3 linked regions of the Cricetulus griseus genome follow. Each later gene encodes a partner of the first gene's protein in a complex. Links are inferred from orthologs where the notes say so. Each region holds a gene or a part of one and is shown in the gene's direction. Other genes may lie near its edges.

Region 1 (3,652 bases):
CCTCATGTTTTTCCATGCCCTTGTAACGTGATTTTATTTCTCTGCATTACTGAAATATGAAAATACTGCATTACATAAAATATGAAAACAGTCCTATTTGCTTCAAAATTAGGAAAATGTAATAGTTAGCATATCTGTTTCTGAAAATCTTGAGGGGAAAATGACAGTATCTCCTCATTGTTGGTCCTCTACAGTAGTTAACCTGTCTCTGTTCTTTCCTCTCCCAAAGGTCTTGGTTGAGAAGTGTCTCCAAATTTCAACGGTGGTTTTCATTGGCTCACCACACATCTCTGACTGTGCTTTCAAAGCTCTTACTTCCTGTAACCTCAAAAAGATCCGATTTGAAGGTCTGTGAAGCCAAAAACATGATTTAACCTTGTTTTTAAATTTTTTTCCCTGGACCTTTAAATATAGTACTTGTATTTCCTTCTTTTCCACAGGAAACAAAAGGATTACTGATGCATGCTTCAAATACATAGACAAGAATTACCCAGGTATCAATCACATCTACATGGTGGACTGCAAGACACTAACAGACAGCAGCCTCAAGTCACTTTCAGTTTTGAAGCAATTGACAGTGTTGAACTTGACCAATTGCATAAGGTAAGAAGTCATTCAGGGTATGTCAACTCAGGGTTCAAGTAACATTATCAAGGATGAGCCAGTCCCTCTCCACAGTGTTAATGGGGATCAGGAAAGGCAGGGGACCAAGTCTTACTGTGTAGATGAGTTTTCTAGTTTGACTGATAGAGTAATTATATAATCATTTTTGACGGCACATGCATCTGATTTTAATCATACACATAGGCCCAAGACTGTACGCAGAGGATTTTCCCTAAAAGTTCACTTGAAAACACAGTTTTGTTGTATTGCACTAGCTCCCAAAACCAGCTGAGCTGGCTCGGCCTATTTTTCATTCTAGATATCTGGAAATCTTTTTGAAAGGAAACTGTCTAGGTTTGATTGTTGTTAGGAGAAGGACAACTTACACTGTTTCTCACAGAGGTTTACAAGTAGCGCAGTGTGGGTGGGGCTTGAGGGGGCTCTGAGGTTGCTAGGTACATTGTGTGCCTGGAAAGGAGCTAATCTATCTCAAACTAAGCAGAGTCTCAGGTTACTAAACTGTCCTGCTTCCGGTGGGTTCTTTCTTTGTGAACTCTCACTCCTGTTTCCTTGCCCACAGTGCTGCCTTTCTGCTTTCTTTTGCAAATCTTTTCCAGAGACACACTTCTCAGTCTTATAGCTTGGGTTCTATATTTTATTTTCTTGTTAGTGAAAACATTACTCATTGATTACTCCAGTCTGGTGTTAGCTAATAGGTAAGTTTGTTGTGTTTGGACCCTGCTCTTCGTCATGCCTCACTTCCCACCCCACCAGCCTCTGGCTTGCCTTCCTAGCTGCTGGTACAGCAGTGACTGGGTGAGATGCATCATGGGAATCACTAAAGTTTCCATTCGCTGGAATACTGTTATGATAGTTTTTAATGTCAACTTTGTCACAATTTAGAATCACCTGAAAGGATTTCCAACCTGTCTGTCAGGTTAGCCTGTTGGCATGTCTGGGGGGGGGGGGCTTGTTAATTGGCATGGGAGACCCACCCTGACTGTGGGCAGCACTATGCCCTGGTTTGGGGGTCCTGTGATGGCTAATCTTGTTTGGTAATTTAACACAGCCTGAAAGAGGGGCCCTCAATTGAGCAATTGCTTCTTTCAGGGTGACCTGTGGGCATGACTATGTCTTGATTGCTTTTAGACGTAGAAGGGCCTAGCCCACTGTGGGAGATGGTGTCTCTGAGTGGGTGGGCCTGGGCTGTCTAGAGCCTAGTAGCAAGCATCTCTGAGGTCGGTGTTTATTCCCTGCCTTTGGTTCCTGCCTGAACTTTTGTCCTCGATTCCTCTGATGATGGACTCGAAACTGTAAGGTGTAGTAAACCCTTTCCTCCCCAGGCTGGTTTTGGTCAGTGTTTTATCATAGCAACAGAAAGGAAACCAGGACAGGCCTTGAGTAGTATGAGGAGGGAAAGCTAGCTGAGAGCAAGATGCCCAGCAGGCAGCTTGGGTGCCTGGGTACCTTCAGCTCTCTCTGCTCTTGACTGCGGATGGGAAGAGACTAGTTGCTTTGAGCTGACCTCCCTCAATGGTGGACTGTAACCTAAAACTATAAGTAAGTACGCCATCTCAGAAGCTGCTTGGCTAAGGGTGCTTGGCTCATTGAAGCAACAGAAACAATCACCTTCTGCCTTTTCTGCTCTGCTCCTGGCGAGTCAAAGGGAAAGTGCAGCCAGCAAGGAAGGCTCTGAGTGCTCTTCCTGCCCGCACACCCTCCTGTAGACTGTCTGTGTGTGATATAATCAATCGCTTGTCCTGTTTCACTGGTGGAAAGGCTTTCTAGAGACGCAACTGGTGGTCTTCAGATAATATTAGAAGTAAAGCCCTCCTGGAAGACCGAGGACAGTACAGGGAGATAGCGTGGCCCCTCAAGGCGCTTCTAATGACGACAGGCTGAAGTCACCGACTTCTTCCAGATGCAAGTTTTCTCTGGCCTAGAGTTCCAAAGGTCACCCCTTGTGTTTCTGGTCCAACCCAGGTGACCTTGAATTCGGTAGAATCCATCCAGGATCTTGAGTCTTGCTTCTTCCTGTTCTAAAATTTGGCCTTAGCCTTTTGCTGATCCTATCAGGGATTTTTTAACCTTAGTACATTTTAAACTGGAAAAAAGAGATCATCCATGTTATTAATAATCATGCCACCTAATAAAACAAATGGACACAAATAACATTTTATTAATATCTCTCCTATTACTATCATATATCCATTTTCTGTTATATTAAGAGCTATGCAATCATTTTCAAAAATTTGACAAAACGCCAGTGTATGGATATTTCCTACTTTGGAATGTATTTGGTGTAGAAACTGGTGTCACCACCAGCCTGTATGTTTATTTATGAGAACATATGTGACCCTTCTGTCTCTCTTTTCCACAGGATTAGTGATGCTGGCCTGAGGCAATTTCTTGATGGTTCTGTGAGTGTGAAGATAAGAGAACTCAATTTGAATAACTGCTCCCTTGTGGGCGATCCCGCCATTGTGAAACTGTCAGAGCGGTAGGACAAGCGACAATCTGCATTAGAACATTAGCTGTAACAGGCGTGACCATGGATAGACCTAAAAGCCAAGAGCCCAAGTCCTTAGCTGCATGTTGGGCACACCCAGAGCTAGAATAGCCGTTAGGCTTGAGTCCTTAGAAGGAAGTAGCCTAACCCCATCGTTGCTGCTCCCTCTTATTGTTACTGGGTTTAATTCTGAACAGAGAGATGGATGTGTAGATAGTGTGACTTGTCTGCACTTTTCAAGGATTCTGTCCCTACTTCAGGTTTCCTGAGGACTATTGTAGATGATTGATTTAATCCTGACCCTCCTCGCTTGGCAGTGGCCTCAACTAAGGCTCCTGCCATAGACCAAGGAGAGAGAAGTGTGGAGGTTGGCCATGCATGTCTGGTGTCTACTCTTCAGGGTGTTTTCATGCTGGTGTTTTATGACTCTGAAAAACACTTTTCTTGCATTGTTCTAAACCATAGTGTGAAACGAAATCAAAGACAGTCTCATATTACTCCACCTTTCTTCCCTCCAACTTTATATTAGCCAGATGGGGC
Region 2 (3,652 bases), on another chromosome or scaffold:
ACTGTTGTATCTATTTCTTCTATCATATCTTCAATGTTGGTGAGACTTCATGGTGTAGATTCTCTGAAGTTTCCAGGAGACACAGAGATTGACTTTTAAAAAGTCTTCCCTGAGGTTTAAACCCCAGAGTCCATAAAGACTCTACCACTGAGCCTCACCTGCATTCAGATGTTTAACCTTTAAGTCTCTGTGTTCTGGGAGTTTCAGACTACCGAGCTATATTAACATGAATTGTCAAAATGCTCATCATAGACCTTAGAGGAAGCTGAAGAAATTGTTCACATGGTACAGAAATTCTGAAACATGATGTCCCTAGATGGGTTTGATTTTCTCTGATAATGGATTCTGAAGACTCTACTCATACAGACTCATATGAACATTAAAAATAGTTGTCATTTGGATGACAGTGTATTCTACTTAATAGCCACCCATAGATTTATTTTTTGTTGAAACAATAAATCTCTTAAAAACTCATCTGTTCAATTGGGATCTATGAGCCTTTTAATAGGATTTTTGAAAGAAAGTGCAGGATTTATAGCTCCGTATAAATTGCCTGACATGGAAGTTAAGGTCAGTAGAGCTTTGTTCAGTCGGTCGGAGTTGAACCCGGAAGCAAAAAAGACTTGTTTCTTTCTCGTTCTGTAGTGCTAGGTGCCAAAAGCTCTCATCTTTAGAATAGTATTTTCTTAACTTAGGATGACAGAGCAGAGTTCTAGTACTCAGGAAAGTATTTCATAAGTACAAGAATGATTTGAGATGTAGGTCGGTCCTTGAGATGATGTATTCAGGGTTCCTCATTTCACGGAAAGACAGTGCATTTGTGCAAGTCAGAATCTGGGAGTCATTTTAGATGCCTTTTCCCCCTAATCTGTAATGGGTGAATGCTGTCACTCTGTCAAGTCTTCTTAAAGGTCACATACCCACTCTCCTCATGGCCACCACTCCAATCTGCACCATCACCCTTTGTCTGAAGTAGCCACCTCATCCACAACAGAGTGACCTTTCAAAACACACACCTATGAGACTGTCTGTGGTTTTGCATTGTTCTCAGGATAACAGGGAATGGCTGTTCTGGGGATGATAGGGTCTCTCTCCAGCCTCTTCCAGCCCAGACACTACAGTTGCCAGTGACTTCCCTGATGCGCTGATGGGAGAGGCTTCCTGTGCTCTGTGCTCCACTAGACCCACATTCCTTTGCTCATGGTGTTTGCATAGATCTAGATTTAGACATTCAAGCCAGGCATGGTGGTTCATGTCTGACATACCACCATAGGGGAGGCTGAGCAGGAGGATCATTTCAAGTTTGCATAGTAAAAACAAATTGGATACTTGCTTTTGTGTTCGGTGTGTGGGAGCACACATGCCAGAGGTTAACTCTGAGTGACAATCCACTGTGATGCAATTACACACCTTGCTTTTGACATGAGTGCTAGGAATTGAGTTTAGGTCCTCAGGGTTGAGTGGCAAGCAGGTTACTGAATTGTATGTGTCTCTCCTGCAGAAAACAAGCTCCACAAGCTGCATTTGTGTCTATAGTCTCATCACCAAGTCCTAACCTTGTCTCAGTGTTTGAAAGAAAGTAGTTGCTCAGTATATTTGTTGAATGAATAAATGACTGTTTCTAATTGTTCAGGTGGAAGAAGAGGAACCCACCGGATACATTCGTTTTGAAAAGTTTCTTCCAGTGATGACCAAAGCACTTCTGGAAAGAAAGTAAGGAAGTAAATCCAATTTTAAGACAAGATAACTAGAATGGCAGTAATTTCAAAACATTTGGCTGGCCAGGTGTGATGCCTTATGCCTGTAATTCCAGCATTGATGGGCTGAGGAAGGAGGATTGCCACAAACCTGAGGCTAGCCTTAGTTATGGAGTTTCAGGCCATCCTGAGCTACAGAGTTTTGCCTCAAAACCAAACCAAACCAAACCAAACCAAACCAAACCAAACCAAACCACTTGGCCTTTTATATTTTATTTACCCAGTCTATATCTTAGGGTAGTTTCCTCTAGCCTTTCAGTGTACTGCAGACTGGTTTAGGGATGTGCTTATAAATATAAACCATGCTAGCATTTATTAATACAAGCAAGAAATAATGAAAAGGAAAAGGAGCTACAAAACCAACAACATTGTAGTTATATTTAACTGTGAATTACTATTTAAAAATAAAAATTAACATTAGTTACTTTCCTAGCATAAGACAGCATTAGCATATGACAGTTGATTGATTGTAGATGTTTTGGTTGTAGATAAATTTATTTTTATATCAATGAGAAAATGCTAATAGGTAATACCAAACATTCCTGTGGGGTAGGTACTGTTGACTTTCATATCCAGAAATCCAAAGAAATTTCATCAAGGGAAATGCCATTAGCATAGTATATTAGTGGCTTTTATTTTGCCTAATGCAGTCATTTATCATGTAGAGACTGAGATAAATATGCTGGCATTAACTCACTTTATTGTAAAATTACAGATACAGACCAATTGGTGAAGATGTCCTTCTCAGAGCTTTTGAGGTGGGTGAACTCCAGATTATTCATGTATATGTGAAAAACTAATTCATCATATAGTATTTATTCAACAAAGAAAATATATCTACTTTCCCCAGGTTTTGGATCCAGCTAAACGAGGGTTTCTGACCAAGGACGAACTGATCAAATACATGACTGAGGAAGGTCAGAGCACTTTATTTCTTATTTGAGTAATTTATGCAAAGATAAATAGGCTTAAAGATGTTTATTTTTTAATTGTGTGTGTGTGTGTGTGTGTGTGTGTGTGTGTGTGTGTCTGTGTGTCTGTGTGTCTGTGTGTGTCTGTGCATCTGAATGCAGTACCCATAGAGACCAGAAGCATCATGTCCCCTGTAGCTAAAGTTACAGATGGTTGCCAGCAACCTGACATGGATACTGGAAACTGAACTCAGGTTCTTGGCAAGAACAGTGCATGGTTTTAACTGCTGAACCATCTCTCCAGCCCAATTAATAAGTTCTAAACAATTATGCAAAAGTTATGGGAGGCGATACTTTAAAAGCAATTGTTTGGTTAAATAATTTATTTATTATTCCTATTATTTTGGTTTGGTATTTGATTTTGTGTAATAGAAGTGTAATGATTACTTGTATAAATTGTGTTTACTTTATTCACTTAAAATATTTTCTGAATAAAAGACATGCCACTTAATATGAGCTGTCAATCATAAACCAATGCCTTTTTAGACAGAAGATTTGAATTATAGTATATAAAAATTTCTTTCAAAAGACTGTCTTCGGTGGTAAAGTTGCAAACAATATAGCCTAATTGAATGCAAATTCACGCAAAACTGTATTTTCTTACGATAATGGGACCTCCTCTGACAAATACCTATATATTTCCTTAAATGTTCTCTTTTTATGTCAATATATATATGTGTGTGTGTGTTTCCGCTAACTGTAAGCAGCATGATGGACAATCATTAATGCTGTTCAGACACACACACCCTGCACTAAGGAAGGAGTTCTGCTTCCTCTACACACACACACACACACACACACACACCCTGCACTATCTTCAGCTCCCAGATGCACAGGCCACGTGGTGAGTGATGCAACAGTCACCCATCAGTTGGACATGGACATGGGTATCATTTTGAGCAAGGAGACCAGTACTGGAAGCTC
Region 3 (3,652 bases), on another chromosome or scaffold:
CTGGCCCATCTGCAAGGTAAACTCTGGAGTGGGGCTGCTAGATCAGAGGGTATCGTACATCTCTGCCAGACTTCTCTAGGGGCTTCCCGCTCACTCTTACCTACTGCCATGCATTTTGTCAGCAACTTTTTCTCTCTGTGGCTAAAAGATGTAAAGGGGACTCTTATTTGAAAAACCTTTTAGAAATTAAACCAGATACTGCCTTCAACTCCACAAGCAAGACTCCAGTGGCTTCCATAGTTCTTAGAACACATGGAAATTCTTGCTGAAAGCCTGTGTGCTCTTCTAGGAAGCAGCCTCTGATATTGTTTCTGCTTGTGTCTTATGTCCTCCCACCTGTCCCCTCCCCATTCTCCGCAGCAACCTCAGATGAGTGCTGTTGGTGACTGTGCCAAGCTCTCTGCTGCCTCAGGGCCTTTAGCTTCCTGGACTGTGCTCCCCCTGCTCTTCCATAGCTGGGTCTTAGTGAGGGTTTCTATTGCTGTGATAAAACACCATGACCAAAAGCAACTTGGGGAGAAAAGGGTTTATTTGTTTACACTTCTACATCACAGTCTATCACCAAAGGAAGTCAGGGCAGGAACTCAAGGCAGGAATCTGGAAGCAGGAGCCAATGCAGGGGCCATGAGAAACCTTACCTGTCTGGTGTACAGTGCAGCGTCTGTGTTTCAATGTTGCTGTCATGCAAGCACCAGCCATGTGGTTGATCTCCCCGTTTTACTAAAGCCAAAGCATAGGGAGGATAAACAGCATCAAGCAGAATGCTCTTCTTGCTGTTGTCCAGTGAATAAAAGGTGAGCCAGAAATCCAGCTCCATTTAGTGAAGGAGACTTGGGGCCTTCGTGTGGTTTTACTATCTAAAAGGTCACACTATTGTAAGCAGTCAGTCAGTGGGTGTTGTGCACCTTGCTGACTGCTCCTCATAGCTTATTTCATTTGGCCTTTTGATGACACACCATGTCATTCTGCCTGTTTTATAGAGAAGGGAATCAAGACTCACACACTAGACTGATCATTTGCCAAATGTCCCTCAGCTAGGCTTTGAGCTCTCCTTGTCTGATTCTTCTGAAATCTTGTGACTGGTCTCAGAACTAAAGTCTGACTCAGAAGCCACAGGCCCTCACCTGGTGCCCTGGCCAGACTGTAGACTAAGGAAAAGAAGGGTGTAGAGGGTGGAGGTGTTATGTGTTATTCCAGTTCTATAGCAGACCTCTGCTAACTCCCTTCTCAGATCATCTACCTGCGCCAGTTCTCATGCCTGCGAACACTCACCCTCTCTGAAAACCCCATTGCTGAGGCAGAGGAGTACAAGGAGTTCATCTATGCCTATCTTCCTGACCTTGTGTACCTGGACTTCCGGCGCATTGATGAGCAGGCGGCAAGTGTCCCGGCTATGTCCCCAATTCTGCTATACAGTCTTTAGGGCCCAAGGTTTCCAGAGACATTGAGGACATCTCCCCATCCATGGTTAAGAGAAGATGGTTCCTGGCTGAGCCCTCTCCCCACCTATGCACGGCCATCCAGCCGTGGCTTCCCGAGGCTTCCTACAGGCCCAGGCTCCTTCTACATATCACCCCAGGGCTACCAGCTGTTATCCAGGCAAAGACTTTAAGGAGAGTAAAGGAAGGGGACAGTAAATTGTCATGATCATGAGCTGGTGGCAAGGTCAGACTTACCCCAAGCTTGAGCCTGGGAGCAATCCACAGCGATCCACTGAGTGTTGTCACTCCAGGCTGAGTGTCCTGCTCTCATCCCCATTATTCTGGAAGCACACATAAACTGACACACAAGGGAAATGATTCACCCACAGTCTCCCAGTCAATTAGGATTAATCTAGGAGTTGGCTCCAGGGAGTTGGTATTTTAGCCACCTGCTGGGCCAGTTATAGTGTGTGTGTGTGTGTGTGTGTGTGTGTGTGTGTGTGTGTGTGTGTGTGTGTGTGTGTGATTTCCCCTCTCTCTACTGTCTGCCTCTGTCCCCTCTCCCTTGCCATAAGTAAGTGTCTCTCTCCTGCTGCTCTGTGCCTATGGTTCAGTGTGTGAGGCCTTTAGTAGCAAGACTATCGAGTCTATCTAAGTCAGGTGCCTAGAAACCCAAAGGCTGCTGACCTACTTGGTTTTTCCCATAGGAAGTTGTGTGCTTTTGCTGAGAAAGAGGAACCTATATTTGTCACACTGAGGGATTTGGGGGGTATGCAAGAAAGGCTATCTGGACAGAAAGAAGGGATATCCCCAGTGTCTACCCTGATCTTCTAGGGCCCATTCAGAGAGCCCAGCTCTGGGGGACAAACTGGCTTTAAAGTTAAGTCTTGTGCTGTTCACAGCAATAAGAGGAGACAGAGAGCTGCTTCTCCAACCCCATTGACAGTGGGCTTTCTGTGACAATGTGAACCTGAGTATTTCTCTTATTCTTTGGTTTTATTTGTGTTTTTGTTGTTGTTGTTTGTGTTTTTGAGACCACAGTCTCATGCAGTCCAGGCTGATCTTGAATTCACTATATAGCCAAAAATAACCTGACTCCTGATCCTTCTGCCTCAGTTTCCCAAGTGCTGCGATTACAGGTATTTGCGATGCCTGGCTCTGAGATTTTTAATTTGGAGGCTTTTTGGGGGGAGGGGCATTTCAAGACAGGGTTTCTCTGTGGCTTTGGAACCTGTCCTGGAACTAGATCCTGTAGACCAGGCTGTTCTCGAACTCACAAAGATCTGCCTGCCTCTGCCTCCCAAGTGCTGGAACTAAAGGCATGTGCTACCACAGCCCGGCAATTCGGAAACTTTTTAAAAATTTTATTTTATGTTCATTAGTGCTTTGCCTGCATGTATGTCTGATCTTCTGACACCAGGGTGTCAGAAGCCCTGGTGCTGGAGAGTTACAGACAGGTGTGAGCTGCCATGTGGATGCTGGGAATTGAACACCGATCCTTTGAAGCTAGTGCTCTTAACCACTGAGCCATCTTTCCAGTCCCAATTTTGAGATTGTGTGGTGTGTGCACGCGTGCATGCATGCATGTGTATTCCAAAACAGGGTTTCTCTGTGTAGCTTTAGTTGTCCTGGAACTTGCTCTGTGTACCAGACTGGCCTCAAACTCACAGAGATCCTCTGCCTCCTAAGTGCTGCCACCATACCTGGCCAGTTCTGAGATTCTTAAATTCAGTGGATAAGTTGGCACATTCCTCTAACCCCAGCACATGAGCAACTGAGGCAGGAAGATCAATAGTTTGAGGCAACCTGGGCTAGATTCAGGTCATCCTCAGCAATTCTAACTTTGTCTCAAATACCTAAAAACCAAGCAAGCAAGCACTGCTTTTAAGCCTTGGTCTCATCTCCAGAGCAGGATTCTTACACTGTTTTCTTCTTGTAGACCCTTCTTGCCTGAGAAAACTTACATGACTATAGGTAAATAGGAATGCAAATTAAACAGTTATTGATAATAAATCATAAAGAAGTTTGTTTTAAAACAGTTCTTTGGTACACATAGAATTTTACCATTTATTAAAGGGGATAGCTTCATTAGCAAAGTGCTTGCCACACGTTTGATCTTCAGGAATTACATAAAAAAAAAAAAAAAACAAGTGTAAGGGACTGGAGAGATGGCTCAGTGGTTAAAAGCACTTGCTGCTCTTGCAGAGGACCTGGATTCAGTTCCCAGCACA

What was found.
Region 2: Fbxl13 (region 1) and Efcab2 share a complex: the UniProt entries of both Homo sapiens proteins name them as parts of the nexin-dynein regulatory complex. The link is inferred for Cricetulus griseus from reciprocal best matches to the Homo sapiens genes FBXL13 and DRC8.
Region 3: Fbxl13 (region 1) and Drc3 share a complex: the UniProt entries of both Homo sapiens proteins name them as parts of the nexin-dynein regulatory complex. The link is inferred for Cricetulus griseus from reciprocal best matches to the Homo sapiens genes FBXL13 and DRC3.

What each region holds. Positions count from the first base shown.
Region 1 is NW_023276806.1:172,973,804-172,977,455, forward strand, and holds part of Fbxl13 (dynein regulatory complex subunit 6), read left to right. Parts: intron 1-229; coding exon 230-347; intron 348-440; coding exon 441-603; intron 604-2,983; coding exon 2,984-3,103; intron 3,104-3,652. UniProt on the Homo sapiens protein: Substrate-recognition component of the SCF (SKP1-CUL1-F-box protein)-type E3 ubiquitin ligase complex.
Region 2 is NC_048598.1:15,668,637-15,672,288, reverse strand, and holds part of Efcab2 (dynein regulatory complex protein 8), read left to right. Parts: intron 1-1,633; coding exon 1,634-1,713; intron 1,714-2,472; coding exon 2,473-2,515; intron 2,516-2,607; coding exon 2,608-2,674; intron 2,675-3,652. UniProt on the Homo sapiens protein: Component of the nexin-dynein regulatory complex (N-DRC), a key regulator of ciliary/flagellar motility which maintains the alignment and integrity of the distal axoneme and regulates microtubule sliding in motile axonemes.
Region 3 is NC_048600.1:74,496,704-74,500,355, forward strand, and holds part of Drc3 (dynein regulatory complex subunit 3), read left to right. Parts: intron 1-1,231; coding exon 1,232-1,378; intron 1,379-3,652. UniProt on the Homo sapiens protein: Component of the nexin-dynein regulatory complex (N-DRC) a key regulator of ciliary/flagellar motility which maintains the alignment and integrity of the distal axoneme and regulates microtubule sliding in motile axonemes.